Linked DNA regions of Diceros bicornis minor. The main gene of each other region encodes a partner of the protein of the gene in region 3 in a complex. Links are inferred from orthologs where the notes say so. Each region holds a gene or a part of one and is shown on either strand. Other genes may lie near its edges. The genes, in order: KAT14, MBIP and YEATS2.

Region 1 (8,069 bases), on a different chromosome or scaffold from region 3:
ACTGGACAGCCACATGCAAAAGAATGAAAGTGGACCATGTGCTATCGCCACTCACAAAAATTAACTCAAAATGGATCAAAGACCTGAAGGTGAGACCTGAAACTATAAAACTCATAGAAGAAAATATAGGCAACACACTATTTGACATTGGGTTTAAAGGAATCTTTTCGGATGACATGCCTACCCAGACTAGGGAAACTAAAGAAAAAATAAACAAGTGGGACTTTATCAGACTAAAGAGCTTTTATAAGACAAATGAAACCAGAATCAAGATGAACAAACAACCAACCAGCTGGGAGAGAATATTTGCAAAACATACATCTGACAAGGGGTTGATCTCCATAATATATAAAGAACTCACACAACTGAACAACAAAATAACAAACAACCCGATCAAAAAATGGGCAGAGGAAATGAACAGACACTTCTCCAAGGAAGATATACAGATGGCCAATAGGCACATGAAAAGATGCTCAACATCACTAATCATCAGGGAAATGCAAATCAAAACAACACTAAGATACCACCTCACACCCGTTAGAATGGCTATAATCACCAAGACAAAAAACAACAAATGTTGGAGAGGATGTGGAGAAACAGGAACCCTCATACACAGCTGGTGGGAATGCAAATTGGTGCAGCCTCTATGGAAAACGGTATGGAGATTCCTCAAAGAATTAAAAATAGAGATGCCCTATGATCCAGCCATCCCACTACTGGGAATCTATCCAACGCACCTGAAATCAACAATCCAAAGAGGCTTATGCACCCCTATGTTCATTGCAGCATTATTCACCATAGCCAAGAAGTGGAAGCAACCTAAGTGTCCCTCGACTGACGATTGGATTAAGAAAATGTGGTATATATATACAATGGAATACTACTCGGCCATAAAAAAAGACAAAATCGTCCCATTTGCAACAACATGGATGGGCCTGGAGCGTATTATGTTAAGTGAACTAAGCCAGAAAGAGAAAGACAAACACTGTATGATCTCACTCATATGTGGAATATAAACCAACACATGGACAGAGAAAACTGGACTGTGGTTACCCGGGAAGTGGGGGTGGGGGGTGGGCACAAGGGGTGAAGGGAGTCATATATGGGGTGATGGACAAACAAAAATGTACAACCCAAAATTTCACAATGTTAGAAACCATTAAAATATCAAAAAAAAAAAAAAAAAAAAAATAGCTGAGCTCCCACTGTGCTAGGCAGTGGGCTAGGAACCAGGAATACTACACCCAAGACAGACATAGTACCTGCAAATTCTGTGAGGGCTACATACAGGGAAACAGGTAATCACAAGAGCACAGTGATTCTCCCTCCTCACTGTGCATCAGCATCACGCACAGTTTTTGTTTTAAACATGCCTGGACCTACCCCACACAAAATGAATCAATCTCTGAAAGTGAGGCCTGAGTCTCTGCTTTTTTTTTAAAGTTCCCAGGTGATGCTGACACTCTGGGAGACATGAAAACCACTGGAGTGGAATGTGATGTGTGCCATAGGGCAACGTGTGGGCACATAAAAGAGGTACCCAACACATATTAGGAAGAGAGCTAGAAAAAGTAGGGTCTACAGGGGACCCAAAGGATGACTAGAATTGGCCGGGTGAAGAGAGGCAATTGTGTGTATGGGGGGAGGGATGGAGGCTATAGAGATGCATAGCCCAGAGAGGAAATTAAAATGTGCAAAGTCCTCGGGATAAGAAATAATTGTTTGTGGTGAGAAAAAGCTCATCCTAACTGCAAAGTTCTGTTTATATGTGGGGATAGGAGGCTACTAAGGAGAGGCTGAAGAAGTTAGCAGGGGCCGATCATGAAGGACAGTTTAAAACGTACCCTGCGAGGACAAGGGGAAAGCCACTGAGATTTTCAGGCAGAACCCTGAATTAATAAGCAGAGACAGCTCGGAAGCAACAACTAGCTAATATGTAATAAAATCTAGGTTTGTTTTCTGTGAAAATGTTATCTATTAATAGTAACTATTAATCTGAATAGATGAATCCATCTTGAAAACATTTCCACGTAACAGAAAAGGACCCACTTCACAATTATATATAAAAATTTCTCTGATCTAGTTACCAATTCTATTACACAAAGTATTCCTCCAGTACATATGTCTTTATTAGTCTCTGCCTAATGGAAAAATCCTGTTTGGTAAGTCTCATGATGGCTGGCAAAGCATACTCCCTGAGAGCTAAGAAGCTGGCAGCTAAAAGATGGAGCTGAAACACTGAGGTGTCAAGGGGGTACGTAACTATGTGCCTCTCGAAGTAGACAAGGAGGCCAACAAGTAGGAAACAAGAACGGTCCTAGAAAAAGGGCACAAAACACTTTTAATCTGCTAATTCTGACCTCACTTCAGCATACAACAGCAGGAGTTTTCCACCTAAGTTAAATATTAACAGAGTAATTTTTGTGAACTTGACCTTTAATTCTACACTCGGCCTAGAATTTGGCCCCAAATCCATAACAACGTGATCTTGGAAGAAAAATGTGACTAAGTCTTTAAGTAACAGAGGATTTCCAACTTTCTAATTTTTATTGGATTACCATCAAGAATGTTAATTTAACAACATGATAGAGGTTGACAGTAATTTTTATTAGTACAAATGTGTCTATGTTTTATATAAATTTGTAATTATTCAACTAAACTAATAATAAATATAATAATTATCTTTTTACTTAGGTCTGTTTTACATTCACGTTTCTTTCACAGGTTAGAAAAACAAACCTGCACATAGGAACTGACAAATCAAAGGAAATGAGAAGCTCCTTACTGGCTGGTATCCATCTCTGGCACTTGTCACAGAAGTAGGCCAGCCGTTCCTCCATCCACGACACGTCTCCTTCGTCACTGTTGAGGGAGTCCCCACTCTGATCATGAGACAAGTCCACTGATGCCTGGTCCTCTGACTCAACAATCAGCAGAGTCTCCCCCTCCACCTCACCCTCCTCAAGTCCTTCTGAGGTAGATGTTCTAGTGGCTTCATCATCGTGCCGACTTATCAAACCACTCAGGTGGACGTTACTATCCATCCCTTCCTTCTCACAGGTGCAGAAGCGCTTCTCAGGAACAATCCTAAGCTCTGGACACCAAGCTTAAAGCGGCTTCTATCAGGATCACACAAACAGAAACTCTTCAGAAGAGTGTCTGCCCACTTCTTTACTCAGATATAGGAGACTTTTAAAGCAATCATTTAAAATATATGACCCATTGTCCTTTTTTTGATCAAGTTTAAAAAGACAGTGACAAAAACAAGGTTGAAATTTCTCTAAGCTGTTCTCCATCAACACACTCACACACACATTTAACGCTGTCTGTCCCATCGATTTTTCCCATTCATTTCAAGTCATGTTTTTTGAGATCCTTTTGCCAATACCATCTTCTCTCTTTCTGCTTCAAGTTGCTCAGTTAAAATAATCTGTTCTCCCAAAAGGCGAATGTTTTCTTTTTTCCGATTTTGTCTCTCAATGTCTCTGATCACTCCGTCACGAAGCCTCTAAAAACGTAAGCAACAGATTTCAGTAACACCCTGACCAGGTGGTTCCCATCCTTGTGCCATCCAAATCCAAACAACAGTGTTACCAAAATACACCTAAAACCTTCAGATTCCAAATACCCAGTTACTACTGTAACTTTCTGTATAAATGTAAAATGTAATAAAGAAACCATCAACTTAACTGGGTACTGTGCTATAGCGTTATTACTGAAATGACTTATCATATTTTAAGAAATTCCTGAACATTCAGTATAGAAAACTTAATGGGAAATAACAATTAAAAGAGAAAAAACTGCCACTATACTGAATTTTAAAAGTTTGATAGAGGATGCTTTAAAAACTTGATGAGATACTACATCAACTCTGAACTACTTTCCTGTTAGCAATTACCCTAGTTGAATAATAAACATCAAAGAAAAAAAACGATTACTAAAACTTGAACAAACTGTAAGGAAGCAAGAAAGTAAAAAAACTGGCGCCCCCCCAGAATGTAAAGAGAAAAAGTAAAAATTATTCAGAATTACTAATCAATTACATAAGAAGGAGAGAAGGGGAAAAAATAATGCTACTATCAGAGGAAAAAATAAAGGCCCGTCAATGGTAGTTACTTTGATAAGCACTAAAGACAGGCAGAAAATTCCAGAACGTGGACCTGGCACCTAAGATGAGACTTATTAAAGCATCAATCCAGTCATTACTAGTAATTAACACTTTATAGATTATAGGTCACAAAACACTCTATTAAGTTTTTAACAGTGGCCCTGTGAGGTAGAATTAATGGGAGTGGGGCTGGGGCATTTTTTTTAAATTATTATGTCTATTTAAAAACTCACCAAGTACCTACTTGCTGGACCTCCTCCAGGCCTAGAGCTTCATTTGCTATCATGGGGGAGTTGGGAAATTTAAGAGTCCGGGGACTGATAACACAGCTGAAAACCAACTTTCTTGAACCCTGTACCCTTTGCAAGATCTCCAGAGACAGAAATGGAGACACTCATTCCACTCCTCCCTCCCCATTTCTTCCTGTCCTGGGCTCCTTACACCATGACACACCTACAACACCCCAACGCACCCCCCCGCACAAAGTCCACACCCACTGTAATCACTGTTTCCACACCTGCCTCTGAGATCCTACCCTTCCTTTCTCAGACACTTTAGCACATGGCTTAGGATCTTGCTCTCCATCCATCATCTGCTATCTTCCTCCAAGTTTCAATGTCTTTGTGATTGCCTCGCACATCCCTCCTGGGACTTCCACTTAACTACCTTACTAACCGCCTCGCTTACAAACCACCAAGACCTCTTCACTATTACAACTCTAACACCTAGAACTCTGGCTCCTCCCGCAGTACCACTTGTTTTGCTGGGTTCCTGTGAGGATTAAAGATGATGTACATAGAGTACAGTACCTGGCATGTCGTAGACAGTCAAGAACAACAGGAAACAACAATCATTCTTTTATTTCTTGCTTCCTTGAAACTTCCAATATGTCAATGTTTTTTTGTGGTGAGGAAGATGGCCTTGAACTAACATCTGTGCCAATCTTCCTCTATTTTGTACGTGGAATGCCGCCACAGAATGGCTTGATGAGTGCTGTAGGTGCGCGCCTGGGATCTGAAGCCACAAACCCCGGGCCGCTGAAGCGGAGTGCCCCAAACCGAACCACTACGCCACTGGGCCAGCCCCTCAATCTTTTGTCCTACTCTTTCCCATTGCTGGGAAGTAAGCCCACCCACATGAACAACTGGATGTAAAGTAAACACACTATTCTGGTCAATCTTTTCTTCATCTCTAACTTCCAAATACCTAAATCCTCCTGTTGTTCCACTCTCTAACACAGTGGTTCTCAACCTGGGCTACATGTTAGAATCCCGTGAGTCAATTTTAAAACAAAGCTAAGCTGGATCCCCATGCCCTAGAGATGTTGTTTAATAGGTCTGGAGTAGGGCCCAGCCTCAGCTGCACTGTAAAAACTACCCAGGAATTGGGATGTGTAGCTAGGGTTCAGAACCAAGCTCTAACTCATCCCTAGCCCGTACCCTTTAAAAGTCCCTGCATTGGCTGACCTCAGAGCTATATCTGACATACTATCCTCCACTCCATCTCAAATTTTCTCAAGATCACAGTCTTTTCTTTCCTAGAGGAAGAAGTCTCCTGCCTCTATTCCAAATGCTACCCCCTTAGAACCTGTACTTTAATCCCAAATCTCTAATCTCTTCCATGCCCTTTCATCATTAGTCTCCCATTACGCCCTCCTCAAAATTTTTGTATCATTACAGGCTTCCTCTTTGATTTCCAAAGTCTGAACAGCGAGGACTAGACCTCATGTGCTTCACCTCTGTATACCAAGCACAGAAGACCGTCCAGTGCAAAAAAAACTGTTCACTATTGATTCATCCAGTCCATTACTTCCACCATTGGCAAACTAGGCTAAACCCCAATCCCTCACCAAGATGTTGAGACTTCACCCACGACCTAGTTGCTCCTTCTCACACTCAACACCCAGCACTGTTTTGAATCATTTAGTCTCAGGAGCAGCTGTGCTTCCTCATCTTTGTTTCCCAAAGTGCCTAGTGTGGTGCCTGACACACAGTGACCAGTCCTTAAATGTTTGCCAATTGAATAAGAAAGAAAATGTGAACTGAGAAATACAGAACGGACGGTCAGTCCACTGATCGGTAAGTCTCGGATATTTCCAGAAATAAAAGTACTGAAAAGAGAAAATTGGGAGGCTGGTCTCTCTAGTGTTCCCTGAATCTAGTTTCCATAGCAAAGTGTTCCTTAAAAAAAGAAAAGAAAAACCAAGTATCTCACCAAATTACCTTGGCCAAAAAAGCACGACGGCGAGAGCGGGGACGCCTTCTTTTTCATGGGATAAAACCTTTTTAACTTTTAAAGATATCAAAACCTAATCTTGGGCCTGGGGGTAGAGAGAGGCCGGTAACTCGCTGGGTGCACCCCAAAGAAACCCTTCCCCGCCTCTACTTTCCAGCGGCCCAAATGAGGTGCTGGAAGGTCTCTATCCCCGCAAGCTGCCTGCGACCTGAAAGCAGGGCCGCCGAGCACCCGCGGGCGTGCGTTGGCGGAGCCAGGTGACTTCGGCGCGGAGGGCCGGGCCCCCCGGGCCCCGAAGACGCACGCGGCCGCGGGCTGCAGCGCCCAGGGCTGAGCGGGCGGCGGCCGGGCCGCAGCGGGAAGGCGTGGAGAAGCCGAGCCGCGCCGCGAGGACCCGACAGGAGGAGAGGCCCGGGGCACCGCGCGGAGGGCCCGCGGAGAGACGGTCACGTGACACCGACCTGCTGGTCCTGCCGCTGCTTCAGATGCACGCCGGCCACGGTGGCCGCCGTCAGCACCACCGAGAGGCCCAGCACCGCCTTCGAGCTCCTCGACATCCCCCCGCCGGCGCCGCGACCTCCTCCCCCGCCCGAGGCGTAGGACCGCCGCCCTGCGCGCCGCCGCCGGTGCGGCAGCCTCGACTCCTCGAGCGCAGAGCCCCCGCCGCCGCGAGCGCCGCCCGCCGCCGCCAGACGCGAGCAATCGAGAGCCGAGCGGTGCCCCGGCTTCGCGGAAAGCGAGGCTTTGGTTGCGGCCCCCAGACAGGAGGGATCCCCTCCCCACCCTGCAGGCGGCCGGGTTAGAACTCCCAATTCAAATTCTAAAGAGCCCCGACCCAAAGCTGGCCCCAGCACCTTGCCGGGGTAGGGGGTTCCCTGCCTGAGCCACCTCATCTCCTCCCCGCCCCCCGCCCCCCGTCCCCAGCGGCGGGAGGCGTCCTGGGGGCCGGATTCCCGATGCGGTACCTTGCTGACCCCTCTCCCACGCGCGTCCCTTCTGAGCGCAGGGCTGACCCAGCTGCTCTGCTCAATACCAGCTGCACCAACGCAGCCCCCGTTGCCCCTGTGGCGGGGTAAGTGCCACCAGGAGATGGAGTTTTTGCTTCTTAAACGTGTAGACACGGTCACCTGCTTTCACCTTGGCGATCTGGGGTGGCTGGTCAGGGTCTGATTTTTCTTAAAATCGAAAACCCTTCTGGCTAAAGAGCATGCTAACGGGGCAGCAACACCTCCTTGCCTCCTGATAGGAAAAGCGCTGGTCACCGAGTTGCCCATGTAAATCCTTAAGAGATCACTTTTACTCCCTGGGAGCCTCAGGTCCCGCCGCGGTAGGAGAGGATTCCTGATAGCGCCGTTACTGGGAATGTGCGTGAGGGCATGAAGTAGTGCGTTGACAGTAGCGCAAAGTGCTGTGCAAGGCACGGAAAGACTTTGGCTTTCCAGTGAAGAGATATTTTCATTGTCATTCTTTCACACTAGAATTCACAGGGAACAGGGAGGTGACGTCAGCATCATGGCGGAGTGAGCTTTCCGTGAACTCTACCCCGACAAGATACAACAAAAGCAACAGCCACAGACCAACAACGGAATCCCAGACAGTGAAAACCTAGAGCGGAGGGATCCATACTGCCCGCACATCTGAGAGCGGAACCTGCTGGGCCCCCTGAGGAAGTGGGGAGAGGTAAGGAGAACTCCGCTCCCCCCCCATCAGATCCCCGATCCGGTCC
Region 2 (7,370 bases), on a different chromosome or scaffold from region 3:
TTTTCTCTGTTCAAACAACAGGTATAGTTTCTGTTTCCTGACTAAAAACCTGGACTGATTAGAAATTGGTATGGGGAGTCCCAGTAGACAAATCCTCAAAGATGGGATTTCTAGATTGGTTTAGTTGTGTCCTCAGAACTTGATTGTAGTGCTGAGCTCCTTGATAACAGAAAGTGGAACTCTGTGATCCATTGCATGACAACACAATTAGTCAATATTACTCCAACTTATTTGATCATGGAAACTTCTGTTGAAAGAAGCATCTTATAGGACTAGAATTCAGCAGAACAAACTTTGGGAAATGCTGGCTTAGCCATACTTCTCTATTCAGTCTATCCTCCTTGCACACATCAAGCACGTTCAAATTGCTGCTCACGTTTTATCTAAATTGAGAATCTGTACTCATCATTTAAGCCTCAATTCATGTTTTATATCAAGTATTTAGAGCTTTTCCTGACACTGAACCCAACACCTTCCCAAAGGAACTGATTGTTTGCTTTATACATACGTCTAATATGATCATTGTCACAATATAATCCTAGTTGTCTGTTTACATATATGCCTAGCCCACTAGAATTGGAGCTCTTTGAGAGAGAGTCCTTGTCTGATTCGTCTTTGTATCTCCAATGCTGATCAGAGTGTCTGGCATGTAGTAAGTACAATTAATTTGTATGGGTGTCATTCATGAGAATGGTCACAGAGGCTAGCTATATTTATTCATTAAGAAAACTTTGAGCATTTTGAATTTGCTATTCCAGAAGAGGATAAACAGACATGCTTCATTATTTGAAATGAACTGTTTATAGCATTCTTACTGTGGGTTACAGTTTCCCCTCAAGAGTAGAAACTTGTTTCTTTTTTTTTCCATTTCACAAATCTGTTCACCTTAGGCAAATAAATTCAGCTCAGCAAGCATGTACCGAGCAATTACTCTGTGCCAGGAACTTTGCTAAGCCTTAAGTACATGAACATGATACACATAAATGCTCATAGTTCAATGGGGAGGCAGATTCATAGTCAAATAAATTTCATTATCAATGTGATAAGTATTACAATGGAAGTATATACAAGTCGTAGGAGTAGTTTACCAGAGAAGATAAGCTCTTTATGAGAAGGACTGTGAGGAGACTTCCCAGGGATTTCTGAGTTGGAGTTGAGGAGGAATAGGAGTTTTCCAAGCAGACAAGAGGCAGGGGTGTAAATAAAAACATGTAGGCAAAAAACAGAAAAGCTTTGAAGAAGTAAAAGAAGTTTCAAGAGCATTAAGCACCAGAAACGAGGCAGAAAACGAGGCTGGAAATGTAGGCAAAGGCCAGATCATGAGAAGAGCCTTAGATGCCATTCTAAGGAACTTGGATTTATCCATCAGGTGATGGGGAGCCAGAGAAGGCAAATAACATTTATTTTTCCTTTTCTGCATTAGGAAAAATTTGTACTACCATACACTGAACAAGCATCTGTTGAGCACATATTATATCTCAGGCATTTTGCTGTGCACTGGATTATTTATAGGGTGTGCCTTTAAAGTTCTTCAAAACGGACATTTTTGTTGATAAGATAGATAGCCTAGATTTCATTTACAGTTTCTATCCTCCCAATTGATTCTTAGCATAAGCTTGCAGGACAGTATTTCTAACTCCGTTGCTAATGCCAAGACCAACACTTTGAATCATTTCTGCCAGGGAGCAGATTTTTCAGCAACCCACTTCATAAACTGTAATTAGTCTTCTATAAATGGCAACTTATTTCCTTTATTCCCTTTCTAAATTTCATAGCTTTCATCATATTTTTGTTATACATTACTATCTATATATTTCTATTTAAAGTTAGCCCAAGGAAATCCACATCTTTTCAGCCTACAAACTCGTCTATTTAAAATAAATAGGAGGGGCCGGCCCCGTGGCTTAGCGGTTGGGTGCGCGCGCTCCACTGCTGGTGGCCAGGGTTAGGATCCCGGGCGCGCACCGACACACCGCTTCTCTGGCCATGCTGGGGCTGCGTCCCACATACAGCAACTAGAAGGCTGTGCAACTGTGACATACAACTGTCTACTGGGGCTTTGGGAGAAATAAAAAAAAATAAAATAAATAGGAGAAAATAAGAAAAATTTCCAAAACGAAGGTAGTAGGTGTCAGAAAGGAGAAAGAAAGGTCCCTGGAAAGAAGAAATAATGCAGAAAGGAGTTAAATTCCAAGAATTATCTAATAACCAATACTAAGATATAAGTACAAGTCTGGATATTTAAACAGAATTACACAATTTATATACAAACCAAATGGCCATCAATTAGTTCTATATTAGGGGTTCAAGTCTATATTACGGGTTCAAGTAAAACTTGAAATTCCAAAATCAGTGATGGCAAAGAAAGGAAGGAGCAGTGCCTTATCAAAGATGGTAATAGACAAAGCATGTTCCCATGTTTCATACCAGAGTCATGAATATTTGAAAAATTCACACCCTAGTGGCCCGCAGATGGTATAGTGGTTACATTCATGCGTTCTGCTTCAGTGGGCTGGGGTTCAACGGTTCAGACCCTGGGCATGGACCTACTCACCACTCATCAAGCCATGCTGAGGTGGCATCCCACATAGATGAACTAGAAGGGCCTACAACTAGGATATACAAGTATGTACTGGGGCTTTGGGGAGAAAAAAGTAAAAGAGGCAGATGGGCAACAGATGTTAGCTCAAGGGCAATTTTCCTCAAAAAAGAAAAAAAAGGTTTTAAAACAAATCTTCACATCTGGGTGAAAATAAATGATCTGAAGCTGGTTGCTAATTTGTTACAAAACAAAAATTTCTAGTTACCCCATTACAATATTCTCCTCTAACAAGAGAACCAAAGGCAAAGAAAATATGCTAACATTGCTAAGAATTATGAATTTAGGTTAGCTATGGGGATGAGTGCGGTGAATAAGAAGGTTGCTCAATTTGGGGTTAGATATTGTGAAACCTTTTTCTGGATGCCTCTAGATGTAGGCTGGGTTATAAACTGTATATCTTGCTGTGGAACATGGGAACAGACAAGATTTCTCAAGATCCTGTCAAGCTTGGAGATCTTTGGAAATGAAAGCCTAATTAAGAGGCTCCCTAGGGACAGGTCAAAGACGTTCTTTTCTCCCTGCAGCCCTTATCCCAGTTCCTTGATGCCTTATTCCTCCCCTTTCACTCCGCCTACTCAAAAACTGGAGAATACCTTATGCAAATTTCCACCTTTGCTTCCTCTACTGCAACTGCATTAGACTATTAGAATTAAGAATTGTAAATCCCTCGTCCCTTATCTTTGAACTGATGATTTTTATTTATAAGTGTTTTTGAATAGAGCTTAACACTAAAAATTCTTCTACAACTTGTTTTTTCAATGGGACAAAATTTTTTTTTAATGTTAAGATTCTACAAGATTACAAAGTCCTTCAAATATCTTTTAATAAGGCTATCTGATAAATAATACTTCGTCAAATTTCAATTTGGATTTGTCTTCCTTACAATTTCAAAGATTGTATTGCATGCAATTACCTACTTGGGTTAAATTCCTGTTGGAATCATATTGACTGTTTCACTCCTTTGAAGCAGTTTTAGGGTGAGCGTCTCTACGCTATCACCCAGAGAATAGCAACTGATGCACGTTTTAAAACTGGACATAATTATTTTGCAGATTTAAAGTAATTAATGTCATTTCCTTGATAGTAAATGTGGCATAACAGAGCACTTGATTGTTCTTTTATATAGCCCCGTCCCTCGCATGAAAAATTAGTGACGTTAATTTGTGTAAGTTTTAAACAACCTTGTAGCAATGAAAACGTCCTATCCAATTATGACAATTCTGTATGAAAGAGTTCTTCAACGTTTAGAAATACGTCTGGGGACCGCCGCATCCCTGACCAGCGATTTTTCTCCATGCCACGCCAGAGCGCCATGTTAAAATTTCAACTTTTAATTTGGGGCTAAAACTGTAACATTTAGCTATAAGTTTCCTCTTACCAACACTTCTGAGCAACATCTAAGAGTCAAGGTAGGCTTCATGAAGCTAAACCTCAGCCGACCACGACTCCAACCACCATCCCAAATACTGCACCCAGCCTTGCACAGGTCCGCAATTCCTGCTCTCAGTCCTCCGCGTAACGCTATCGCTGCATCTGATTGGTGCACGTGCTGTCAATCACATAGAGAGGGTGGGTCCTCAAAGCTCCGCTCTCAGCGAGACGCTGTGTTTTTACGTCATCGCCGAGCGACGACAGCCGGAAAGGGAGGGGTTGGGGCTGTGAGCGCGTCTCTGTGGTGGCGGGGGTGGCCTGCGAAGGTGTCATGGCTGCGGCCACCGAGCTTAGTCGCCCTAGCATCGGTAACAGGAGCCTGGAGCGGAGCTGCAGCCCCAGCCTCTCCCAGGAGGTGCTCTGCGAAATCTTTCGCTCCCTGCATACCCTGGCCGGACAAGTGAGTGGTGGCCTGTGGGAGTAGGGGTATGGGAACCGTGCGGCCCCTCCCCGCTTTTTCCTCTGGCGGAGGACGGGGGCAGCGGAGGCCTGCCGGGTGTGGGACCCGCCGGAGAGGCTGCGGCCGGGGGAGGAAGGAGTCCAGGCCCGGACGCTTGCGGTCGGAGTGAGGAGGGCCGCACCGGCTTAGTTCAGGACCGGGGGCAGACTAGATTTCATTGCAACTCTTCTCCCCCAGAGTGAGTGAGGATAGTATAAGAGCAACCCGGCTCCAAGAGGAACAGGCTTGGAGAGAATCAGTGCGGAAAAGCTTCTCTGAGGGTTTGCGAGGCGTCTGGCGCTCAGGATCCCTTTTCCTCCAGTTCATTCGTTAGAAATGGATACGTTAGTGCCGCCTGAGATTGCTAGAAAAACCCTCTCTCCGCCTTGCTTGGGTGATTTGCTCTTATGAGTCACTTGGTTTATTTCTTTTTTCCTTCTGGCCATTGTGTGCAACTCTTACCCTTTCAAATGGGGAAAAAAATAAAAGGAATGAATCTAAAATACTTATAGCATGAAGTTGGATGAGTTATCCGTGGTTGATACTGTTCGCATCAGAACTGTTGTTTAGCTAGTTGTTTATCTATTAACTAGTTTAACTGGCTGATAAATAGCTTTTGCAGAAGTATCATAATAAAGTTGGGTTTAAATAAAAGTGCTCCTTACACTCTATTACAATCAAGTCACTATATATATATTATATATGTTTCATGATGTAAAATGCAAAACAAATTTTAAATGAGAAACAACCTGAAAATAAGTTTGTCAGCCTTTAAAGGAATTTTTTTCTCTTATATCTTAGACGGAAAATTTTTTAGCTGTAAAAGTTTGTATGGGTCTGGTACTAGTGCATGTAACAGACACAGCAGGCATTTGTGTCGAAGATATGGTAACTTTATGAAAATAGAGCATTTGTCTTATTTGAGAAAATTATTTTTAAAAGCCTTGGGTGGATGGAGAATCGATTTTTTAAAAGATTATTTCAGTAATTTTCAAAATCCTAATATGTTTGTCGTGACTTACAAAGAGCATTACTCTAAGTTAAACATTGGTGTAATGGAACGATTATTCATAGAATCTGATAAAAATTGTAACTTAAACTCAGTTGTTTGCCAAAGACTTACTACAAAAAAATTTTTTAAGGACTTGGGGACATTAATATTTCAGGCTTAAGACCCAAGACCTGTAAATGGTTTAAAAGTTTGAGAACTTTTTATGGCATGAAGATTGGAACTTGAAGGTTTATTTATATTCTAATGTCAGGATAAAAGAATTTCGTGCTCACCTATAATTTACAGAGGTTTTTTTCAGTGATGAGATATTTTTTAAAATAATGTTAAGAAATAATTTAAACATTTTGTTTAAAATATTTTGCATACTTAATTTTTAAAGCTCATTTAAAAATTTTAAACATTCAGATATTCTGTAGGTAGAAGTAGAAATGTGATTAAAGTTTATGTCACCTGCCAAAAATGTTTAGAGTAAATATTTGGCGAGTGTACGTGACATAGTGAACAGACCATCTATACGAGTGTCAAAAAAATAAGATTGTCTCATCGATTAAATGTTAACCATTTTGGTAATATTTTTTATGTATTGAGATTCATTGTTTAAAGATAAGAATGAAAGCCAGAGTACTAATAAAATTTCCTCTGGAGGAGATCCCTATTTCCTTTTGCAATGAGTTTAAAGGATTTTTTTAAAATGTATGTTGTAATATGCCTAAGTTCGTTTTGTATAGTATCATTGTATTATTAGCTCTCCTCAATAGGAAACATAAAGTTGAATGTTAAAAAGTATTTTCTATTCCAGGTTTCAAATTTACTGGTTTTGACCTTATGGCTTGCCTCTGGATGGCCATTTTACCAAGCTGAAGAATTACTTACTGTTAGCTTGGATTTTCGTATTAATTTAATAATGTTTTTACTGAAAATGCATATTTAAATAGTCCATATTGATGGCAGACTAATACATTTTTGAGTGAGTGGTTTACAGTTACAAGTTCTATAGGGTAAAAATGCATAGAATTCATATTACTAATAGAGAATTGTTGAATAAATAGTTGGATGCGTTGGGATTATTTTAATTTGTGACATTATTATGTGGCTTTCTTAAAAGACAAAGGATCTTTAATTGCACTTGAAGGCTTACATAATTCTGCTGAATTGAAATGAGAATATGATCCTAACGTTAAGATTTATTTTCTATGAGTTATTATTTTCTCTAGAAAATTTGATGCTTTGTTTTGGTTGAGGATTTGCCTGCATTATCCCCAAACTGTATTTATAAATTTGTTATAATCGACTATAGATCTCTTTGAAGACTGTAAAAGTATAATAATACTTTGCTTCCACACATAAGTTGTTGTCTAACAAAATCTTTATAGGTGTTAAATAATATAAATTAAGATTAATGTGGTAATCTTCATGTAAAACCTTAGTTAAATTAATATTAACTAATATTTGCCAGTGCAGCCTACACAAAACTTCCTGTTTCTTTATGCTTGTCTAGTATGGACTTCAGATGTTTCTGGTCTCACATTTGAAGGGTAGTAAATTTCTGTCAATTAGTATTCATTCAATATAGTGCATTTTTTTGGTAACTTTGGATCTCTTTTGTTCTTTGTATAGTGATTCATCCTTTTATTATAATCACAACTCACAAGATCTGTATTTGAACTAATGTAACACTTGTCTTTATTTTGTAGAAAACATGACTAATTTTTAATAAATGATTTCTGAAAAAATAACATAGTTGATTGTAATATGCAATATATCCTTATAGTATGCATAAACACATGTCCTAGAAAAGTTTATGGTGGTTCACTTTTATTTACTCAAAAGACTAGAGATGGAGGTTTCCCTCTATAATTTTCACTGATTTTGATAATAATTGTATA
Region 3 (7,302 bases):
AGAGGAAGATTGGTGAGAGATGTTACCTCAGGGACAATCTTCCTCCCCCCCAAAAAAATGGTTAAGGTGGTAAATTTCATGTTATGTGTATTTTGCTACAAGTGAAAAAAAAAGTAGACAGGAGTTAAATGATAAGTATGGTTTTTCCATTATTAACCATGTCCTTCCTGATGGAGCCTATGTAATAAATGCATTTATTTCCAGGGGGTAAAAATACACTCATGCGCTGCATAACGAGGTTTTGGCCAATGATGAACCGCACATACGAACATGGTCCCATAAAATTAGTACCATAGAGCCTAGGTGTATAGTAGGCTATACCATCAAGGTTTTGGTAAGTATACCCTATGATGTTTGCAGAGAGATGAAATCGCCTTATGACACATTTCTCAGAACATATCCCCATTGTTAAGTGACATATGACTGTACACGGGTGGGAAATTCTGCAAGTTTTATGTCAAGCTATATATTTTTAATGATAGAGAACTCTTGACAATCAATTAGAAAATGACAAATACAATTAAAAAGATGCACAGAGGACACGAAAAGAAATTCAAAAATGGCCAATAAATGTGAAAAATGTTCAAACATACTAGTAATCAAGGAATGAAAAATTAAACAAGACACTATTTTTCATCTATCAAATTTAGTTTGAGGGTTGGGCCGGCCGTGTGGCTTAGTGGTTAAGTGCGCCCACTCCGCTACTGGCTGACCGGGTTGGGATCCGGGCATGCACCGACACACCGCTTCTCCGCCATGCTGAGGCCCCGTCCCACATACAGCAACTAGAAGGATGTGCAACTATGACATACAACTATCTACTGGGGCTTTGGGGGAAAAAAAAAGGAGGAGGATTGGCAATAGATGTTAGCTCAGAGCTGGTCCTCCTCAGCAAAAAGAGGAGGATTAGCACGGATGTTACCTTAAGGCTGATCTTCCTCACAAAAAAAAAAAAAAAATTTAGTTTGAGGGCAGATGGAAATAAGGTGTCTTGAAGAAGGGGTACTTTTTTCTAATTTACACTCATTGTCTTCACTTCCTTATGTTCCATTCAATTATTCCAATCTGGTTTCCACCTCCCACTTCTAGAACTCTGAACAGTAATACCAACGACCAAAACCAATAACCTCCACACTGCCAAATCCAACTGAGCATCTCACTAAACATCTCAGAAGCACTAAAGAACCAATTCTCCATCTTCCAGAAACTTAGACTATCTCTCTTGGCTTCCATGACACCAGTCTGCTGCTTTTTCTCCTACCCCACTGGCTGTTTCTTCTGTCCTGTGCTCAATCTTCTTCCTCTACCACACCTCAAAGTACGGGAGTGTCTGAGCCCTGATTTTTCACTTCTCCATCTATACTCTTTTCCTAAGTGATCTCATACAGTCCCATACCTTTGATTATCATCTATATACTGAGTATTTCAAATTTTTATCTCCAGCTCTAGGCTCTCTCTTCCGTGAGTTCCAAACCTGTACATCCAATTGCCTCCTCACCATATCTACTTCATAACTAATATGCACTTCAAATTTAAAACAGAACTCATTCTTTTTCCCACCTCAAATTTCTCTCTTCCATCCTCCACTTGCTCACTACATGCCATCTACTCAGAGTTGCTTAAAACAAATATCAAAAGCAGAGTTCTCCCTTTCCCTCACCAATCCACTTCCAAGTCTTGCTCATTCTACCTCCAAAATATTTTAAAATCTTTCTAGTCTTCTCCATCTCCACTGCCATGGACCTATGCCAGGTATTGCAAACAGCATCCTAACTAATCTCCCAGCTTCCATTCTTGCCCTCTTCCCCCACAGAGCAGTCAAAATTATTCTACTTGCATTCTTAAAACCTTCAAAATATTCCCATAAAATCTAAATTCCTAATCAGGACATCATCTGCTCCTATCTTTCAAAGACTGTACACAACCAAAAACATACACTCAATGATAATATCTCTAGGCAATAAAACTACCAGTACTGTATTTTTACATTTTTCTATGATGAATACTTGCTACTTGCTTATTAAGGAGGAAATGATATTGCTGAATACTATATAATATTACATGTTATGAAATATGAGAAATATGAGAAAACACGTTAATGAGAAAAGAGAGTACAAAACTGTAGGTAAACTCATTGTAACTGTTATAAGCTTAGAGGAAAATATCAGCAAACATACCAAAACTCCAAGAATGATGTGTCAGGGCTGTAGGATTACTGGTGATATTTTCGTCTTCTACGTTCTAGTTTTTAACATAATCACATTCACAATAGAAAAAAAAGGTTATGATATAAACCTCATTGTCTCCTGCAATCTTGCCACAACCCACCAAACCAGCCTTTCTTCCAAGAACTCACTTTCCCAAGCTTTCCACCCCAACCCCGCACTATCTCACACCTTTAACTCGGACACCATCCCTGGAAGATCCTCCTACCTTTCTACAGCCTACTCACCCTTCACCGGGGTGAGGGACGGCAGGGATGGAGACGGAGATTCCAGGATTCTTGTCGGTAAATTCACAACTTGCCAGTGCTGGGGCCAAATCTCGTCTCCAACTGGTGGCACAGGGCACCAAGCTTAACATCCTAAAAGCTCCGGGCACTGGGGCTCAAGGGACCCCATCCCCTCAGAGAGCGCTGCGCCCCTTAGGAAAGGACCCTCACACACACCCAAATTCCGGGTTCCAGCTTCGGAGACTTGCCTGACAGACACAGTCACCGTGGATCCAGCCCCCAGCGCCCGATCCTCTCCTCTCCGCAGTCACCCGCTCCCTCCCTCCCCTCGGCAGGGGGCCCGCGCGCCGGCGGGTGGGGGAGGGGCGCGCACGTGCCCGCGCCGCCCCCGCCCAGACAATGCTCCGGAGAGCGGCGCGCGCGCCCGGCCGGTCCGATCCCGCTCCCGCCAACACTCACCCTTTTCCCGGTCTCCGGCTGAAGCACAGGCCCCGCCGGGGGCCGCGAAAGGGCCCGGGCGAGGAGAGAGAGCGGACGAAGCCCCGCAGAGCCGCCCCGCCACGAGGCCCCAGCGACCCCGGAGCCCGCGGAAGCACACGGCTCGGCGGAGACCGCTCGGCCCGTTCGCCGCGCACGTCAGCAGCAGGGGCGGGGCGGGGTGCGCGCGGCGGCGGCGGCGCGCGCGCGCGGCCCCGGGGCGGAGCTCGCAGGGATGTGGGCGGGGCCGGGGCACAGGCTGGTGCTGGGGCCTGGGCCCGCGCGGGGGTTGGCGGTTGGCCCGGGCCCAGACTCTGACCCTGGCCGGCGCTGCTGCGCTGCCTGGGGAGTACGGGCGTCGGTGCTGGGAAAGGCAGCGTCATTTATCAGTTTCCTCTTTAGAAGAAGATGGCGAGGTCCAGTCCGAAGTTTCAGAGAATATTCATTCTGCCGGCCTTTATGAAGCTTCGCCAGTAATAACAACAGTGGCTATGATTTTTGTGTGTGTCATCTCGTAGCAAGTTTTGTGCTAGGTGCTAGGAATACAAATAACAATAGCTATTTCTAACCTGTTCTACAGATGCAGAAACTGAGGCTCGGAAAGATTGAGACTTATCTAGGTCGCACAGCTAGTGAGTGACAATCCACCAAGTCCAGTTTTCGTCCTAAATATCTCTTGAGCTCACTCTTCGCTTTTCTTCTCCCTGTACCACCCTACCCCAGACCCTGGTCACCTCTCTGTCCAAGACCGCCGTAGCCTCCCAACTGGTCTCCAGTGATCTGTTTCTGTCCGCCTTCAATCTCTTCTCCTCACTATGTAAAGGTTTACCACTGGAACTGGGTCGTAGGTTTAGAGGGGATTCACTTCGTAATTTTTTGTACTTTACATATATGTTACCAATTTTTGGATGTATTTAATGTTTAATAAAAATGTTTTAAAAGATTTACTTCTTTATCTCCAATAGCAAGCCTAGTACATTTCACATAGTATGCACTCTGAAAATATTTGTTGAATGAATGGCTAATAGGGCCAGGAACTGACTCCAGAGCCCTTCATGGGAAAGAAATAGAGGGATTTATAATATGTCACGCTTGGTCTCCTGACCTTAAGGTCTATTAGAGGTAAAGATAGATTAACAATATTTATTAATCTAATTTTTATTGCATTTCTATTCTGTGTTCTGGCACTGTGTGCCAAGCTCTGTGTTAGGCACTGAGGATCAGAAATGAACAAAACAGTTCCTGCCTTTGTGAAATTTGCAGTCAATTTTATCGGAAAGGCCTCCCTGAGCTTAAGCTAAGACCCAAAGAGAGAACAGGAATTGGGGAGATAAAAATAAATTTCATGGAGAAAGAGGTAGGGTAAGAGGTTATCATGAGTGTGTCAGTGTTCCCCTACTTTTGGGGTCTAACCCTGAGGCAGAGGCATAGAAGTACCCAGCTAAGTGGAGGGGGAGGGAGAAGCCCACTTCCCATGGCCCAGCTTGGAAGGCTGCCGGATTCTGGCAAGAAGTCTCACATTGAGCAGGGCTCAGGAACAGACAGTGGCATTGGGGAGGGAGGGGGTCTGAGATGATGCTGCTGGGTGTCCACAACTTGCAGATGGCGTGCCAGAATCTCAGACTTCTCTGTATGCTCCCTGCCAGGCAAGCAGAAAGTAGAATGGTTGAGAGCCATGGACGGGGCAGTGAGCACTGTGCCAGAGGCCTGGTAATCCTAAACAGAGGCAATGATGGACTGATTGGCAGGGAATGGCTGGAGAATGTGGCTCAGACCTCAAGGATGGGCAGAGCCAAAGACCCCAGCAAGAACTGAAATGCTCCCAAGTCAGCTGGGGAGAGGAGCAGGGATAGAGGATTGGGGAGTGGGAAGGTGAGACGTCAGACTCTCAAGGTGCTGAAGCAACAGATCATGAGCTTGCCAGCCAACAACCTCAGCAGCTGATGCCAGCAGGGCTGAGGTGACCAGGAGTGACCAGGAAGCACAGGCCAGTGAGGACCCAGGCTACAGCTCTGCACACAGATCTGAGACCCTTCTGGCCACCACCTCAAAGCTTCCGTTGCATCCCACAGGCCATCTTGGGAACTCAAGAGGAGGAAGGGGAAAGTTCTGACAGGACTGCAACCTTGAATTGATTGAATGTTTACTCAAAATGAGACTATTAAGACCAGATAACTTTCGGGCTGGCCCCGTGGCTTAGCGGTTAAGTGCACGCCCTCCGCTACTGGCGGCCCGGGTTCAGATCCCGGGTGCGCACTGACGCACCGCTTCTCCGGCCATGCTGAGGCCGCGTCCCACATACAGCAACTAGAAGGATGTGCAACTATGACATACAACTATCTACTGGGGCTTTGGAGGAAAAATAAATAAAAAAAAAAATTAAAAAAAAAAAAAAAGACCAGATAACTTTCATTGGCAGGTTTAAGTTTAGCCCATTCCCCAATAGGAATGAGAGTCCATGAAAAAGTTTGCAACATTTAAAGAGAAATAACATAGCTACAGATGTTTGTACGTATGCATGCAGTGTGTACATTTCAATAACAGATAAGATCTAGGAAGGAAATGGACAGGGTGCTGAGAAAGCACAGCATAGCGGGACCAGATCTAATGTGGAGGGAGAAAAGGCCTCCCCGAAAAAATAGTAAGTGGAACCTGAAGGCAGTAGGAGCTGCTGGGGCACGATTAAGTCTGAGACAAAGTGAGAGAAACCCAGGGTCACTGAAGCAAGAGCAGAGTGGTTAGGGTGGGGCTGAGAGTGAGGCAGGAGGAAGATCACGCAGGGCGGTGGGTTAAGATTTTGATCTTTACCGTGTGAAAACAACAGGAAGTCATCAAAGGTTTTTAAGCGGAGGAGTAAGGTATTCAATTTGCCCTTTAAAAAAGACCACTTACCCAGCAAATGGGTGGGGAATGCCTGGAAGGGTGTGTGAACAAAGCAGCAGCCAGACAGTTGGAAAGCAATTTGAGTGGCCCAGGTGAAAAATGAGGGTAGCTTACACTAGACAGTGGAGATGGAGGGAAGTGGAAAGATTCAAGAATTGTGGAGAAAATACTGAGAGACTTGGTAATGAACTGGGAGGGGACGGACGAGGAAGGGGAAGGGGACTGGCCCCTGCTAGGTCTAATGGCATGTGAGAAAAAGCTGCCCCAGCCTTTAAGGGGACAGTGCCCTGTGCTGGGGCACAGCTGGTGGTTGGATTTCAGGCCCCTCCCTGGCAAGGCCTAGTCAAGCAGCAATCACCCGCACAACCACTGGAGGTGGGCCTGGAAGGAGAAGATGAGGAAGGAGAAGAACTGAGGGTCACTCCCAGGTTCCTGGCTTTGGCAAATGGTGGGTGGTGGTGCCATTTACCGAGAGGAGGGAGACTGAAGGAAGAACAGATTTTGTATGTTGCGGGGTAGGTGAATCAAGAATTCCCCTGGGGACATTTTAAGTTTGAGGCATCCACCTGAAGAGACTCAACAGGCATCTGTACATGTGGTTCCGAGACTCAGAGGAGAACTGATGGGTGGTGCCGTCAGTTGCCGCCAATACTGTTGTCAACAGGTAGTTGGTGAGAGCTGGTGAGATTGCAGTGGAAGATAGTACAGTTCAGAGGGGTTGCACAGTCACAGCCTACAATGTCACACTGCTTTAAACAAGCCAACACTCCAAATATTGAGAAATTTCACATACTAACCTGGATTTCTCCTTCTCTGAAAAATCAGAAGCTGTGGTAACCTGGACCTACATTCCTATAATTAGTTATTAGCTAACACTATGTACCAGGCAGTGTTCCAAGCACTTCACAAATTTAATCTAAGTAACAACTTTATTATTATTATTCATACTTTAAGGGAGAGAAAACTGAAGCACAGAAAGGTTGAATAACGTGTTGGACAGCTGAGAAGTGGAGCTGGATTGCAGACTCAAGCAGTCCTGCACTGAGTCTGAGAGCTCAGCTGCTGCACCACGGATGCATCTGGAAAGCTGCAATCCCATTTAGAGGAGCCCTAGTGCCTTCAGGAGGGCTGAAGTAGGTCCCACTACCCCCTGTTGTCTTCCTGACTCCTCCATCCTACTCTGAGCATCAGTTGCCATTTATGGTTTTACTCACACTGCTGTTTTCTCGTATTAGAGAACGATTTCTCTATACCCATGCCTCTACCAAGTAGAAAATTAAAAATATTAAATCGAGACATCTAACTTCTATGAGTAAGAATTAAAAAATTCTTTATTTGTGAAATCTCTGTGTGTCTGGTCAGATAAAATTGGTAAAAATGGGTTAATATTTAAATTAAATGAGAAACTCTTAACTGTGTTTCCATGCTTCTGAGACAATCATACTTCTGAGTTGATCTGTCATTCCCAAGTACAGGAGATTAAAATGACA

What was found.
Region 1: YEATS2 (region 3) and KAT14 share a complex: the UniProt entries of both Homo sapiens proteins name them as parts of the ADA2A-containing complex. The link is inferred for Diceros bicornis minor from reciprocal best matches to the Homo sapiens genes YEATS2 and KAT14.
Region 2: YEATS2 (region 3) and MBIP share a complex: the UniProt entries of both Homo sapiens proteins name them as parts of the ADA2A-containing complex. The link is inferred for Diceros bicornis minor from reciprocal best matches to the Homo sapiens genes YEATS2 and MBIP.

The regions. Positions count from the first base shown.
Region 1 is NC_080758.1:44,871,536-44,879,604, reverse strand, and holds the start of KAT14 (cysteine-rich protein 2-binding protein), read right to left. Parts: upstream 3,046-8,069; 5' UTR 3,045-3,045; coding exon 2,786-3,044; intron 1-2,785. Other genes in the region: protein PET117 homolog, mitochondrial, read right to left, coding at 3,359-3,508, 6,805-6,900. UniProt on the Homo sapiens protein: Component of the ATAC complex, a complex with histone acetyltransferase activity on histones H3 and H4. May function as a scaffold for the ATAC complex to promote ATAC complex stability. Has also weak histone acetyltransferase activity toward histone H4.
Region 2 is NC_080744.1:13,267,858-13,275,227, forward strand, and holds the start of MBIP (MAP3K12-binding inhibitory protein 1), read left to right. Parts: upstream 1-4,271; 5' UTR 4,272-4,304; coding exon 4,305-4,433; intron 4,434-7,370. UniProt on the Homo sapiens protein: Inhibits the MAP3K12 activity to induce the activation of the JNK/SAPK pathway. Component of the ATAC complex, a complex with histone acetyltransferase activity on histones H3 and H4.
Region 3 is NC_080754.1:39,887,811-39,895,112, forward strand, and holds the start of YEATS2 (YEATS domain-containing protein 2), read right to left. Parts: upstream 3,043-7,302; 5' UTR 2,912-3,042; intron 2,739-2,911; exon of another isoform or gene 2,669-2,738; intron 2,555-2,668; 5' UTR 2,453-2,554; exon of another isoform or gene 2,434-2,452; intron 2,242-2,433; exon of another isoform or gene 2,178-2,241; intron 1-2,177. UniProt on the Homo sapiens protein: Chromatin reader component of the ATAC complex, a complex with histone acetyltransferase activity on histones H3 and H4. YEATS2 specifically recognizes and binds histone H3 crotonylated at 'Lys-27' (H3K27cr).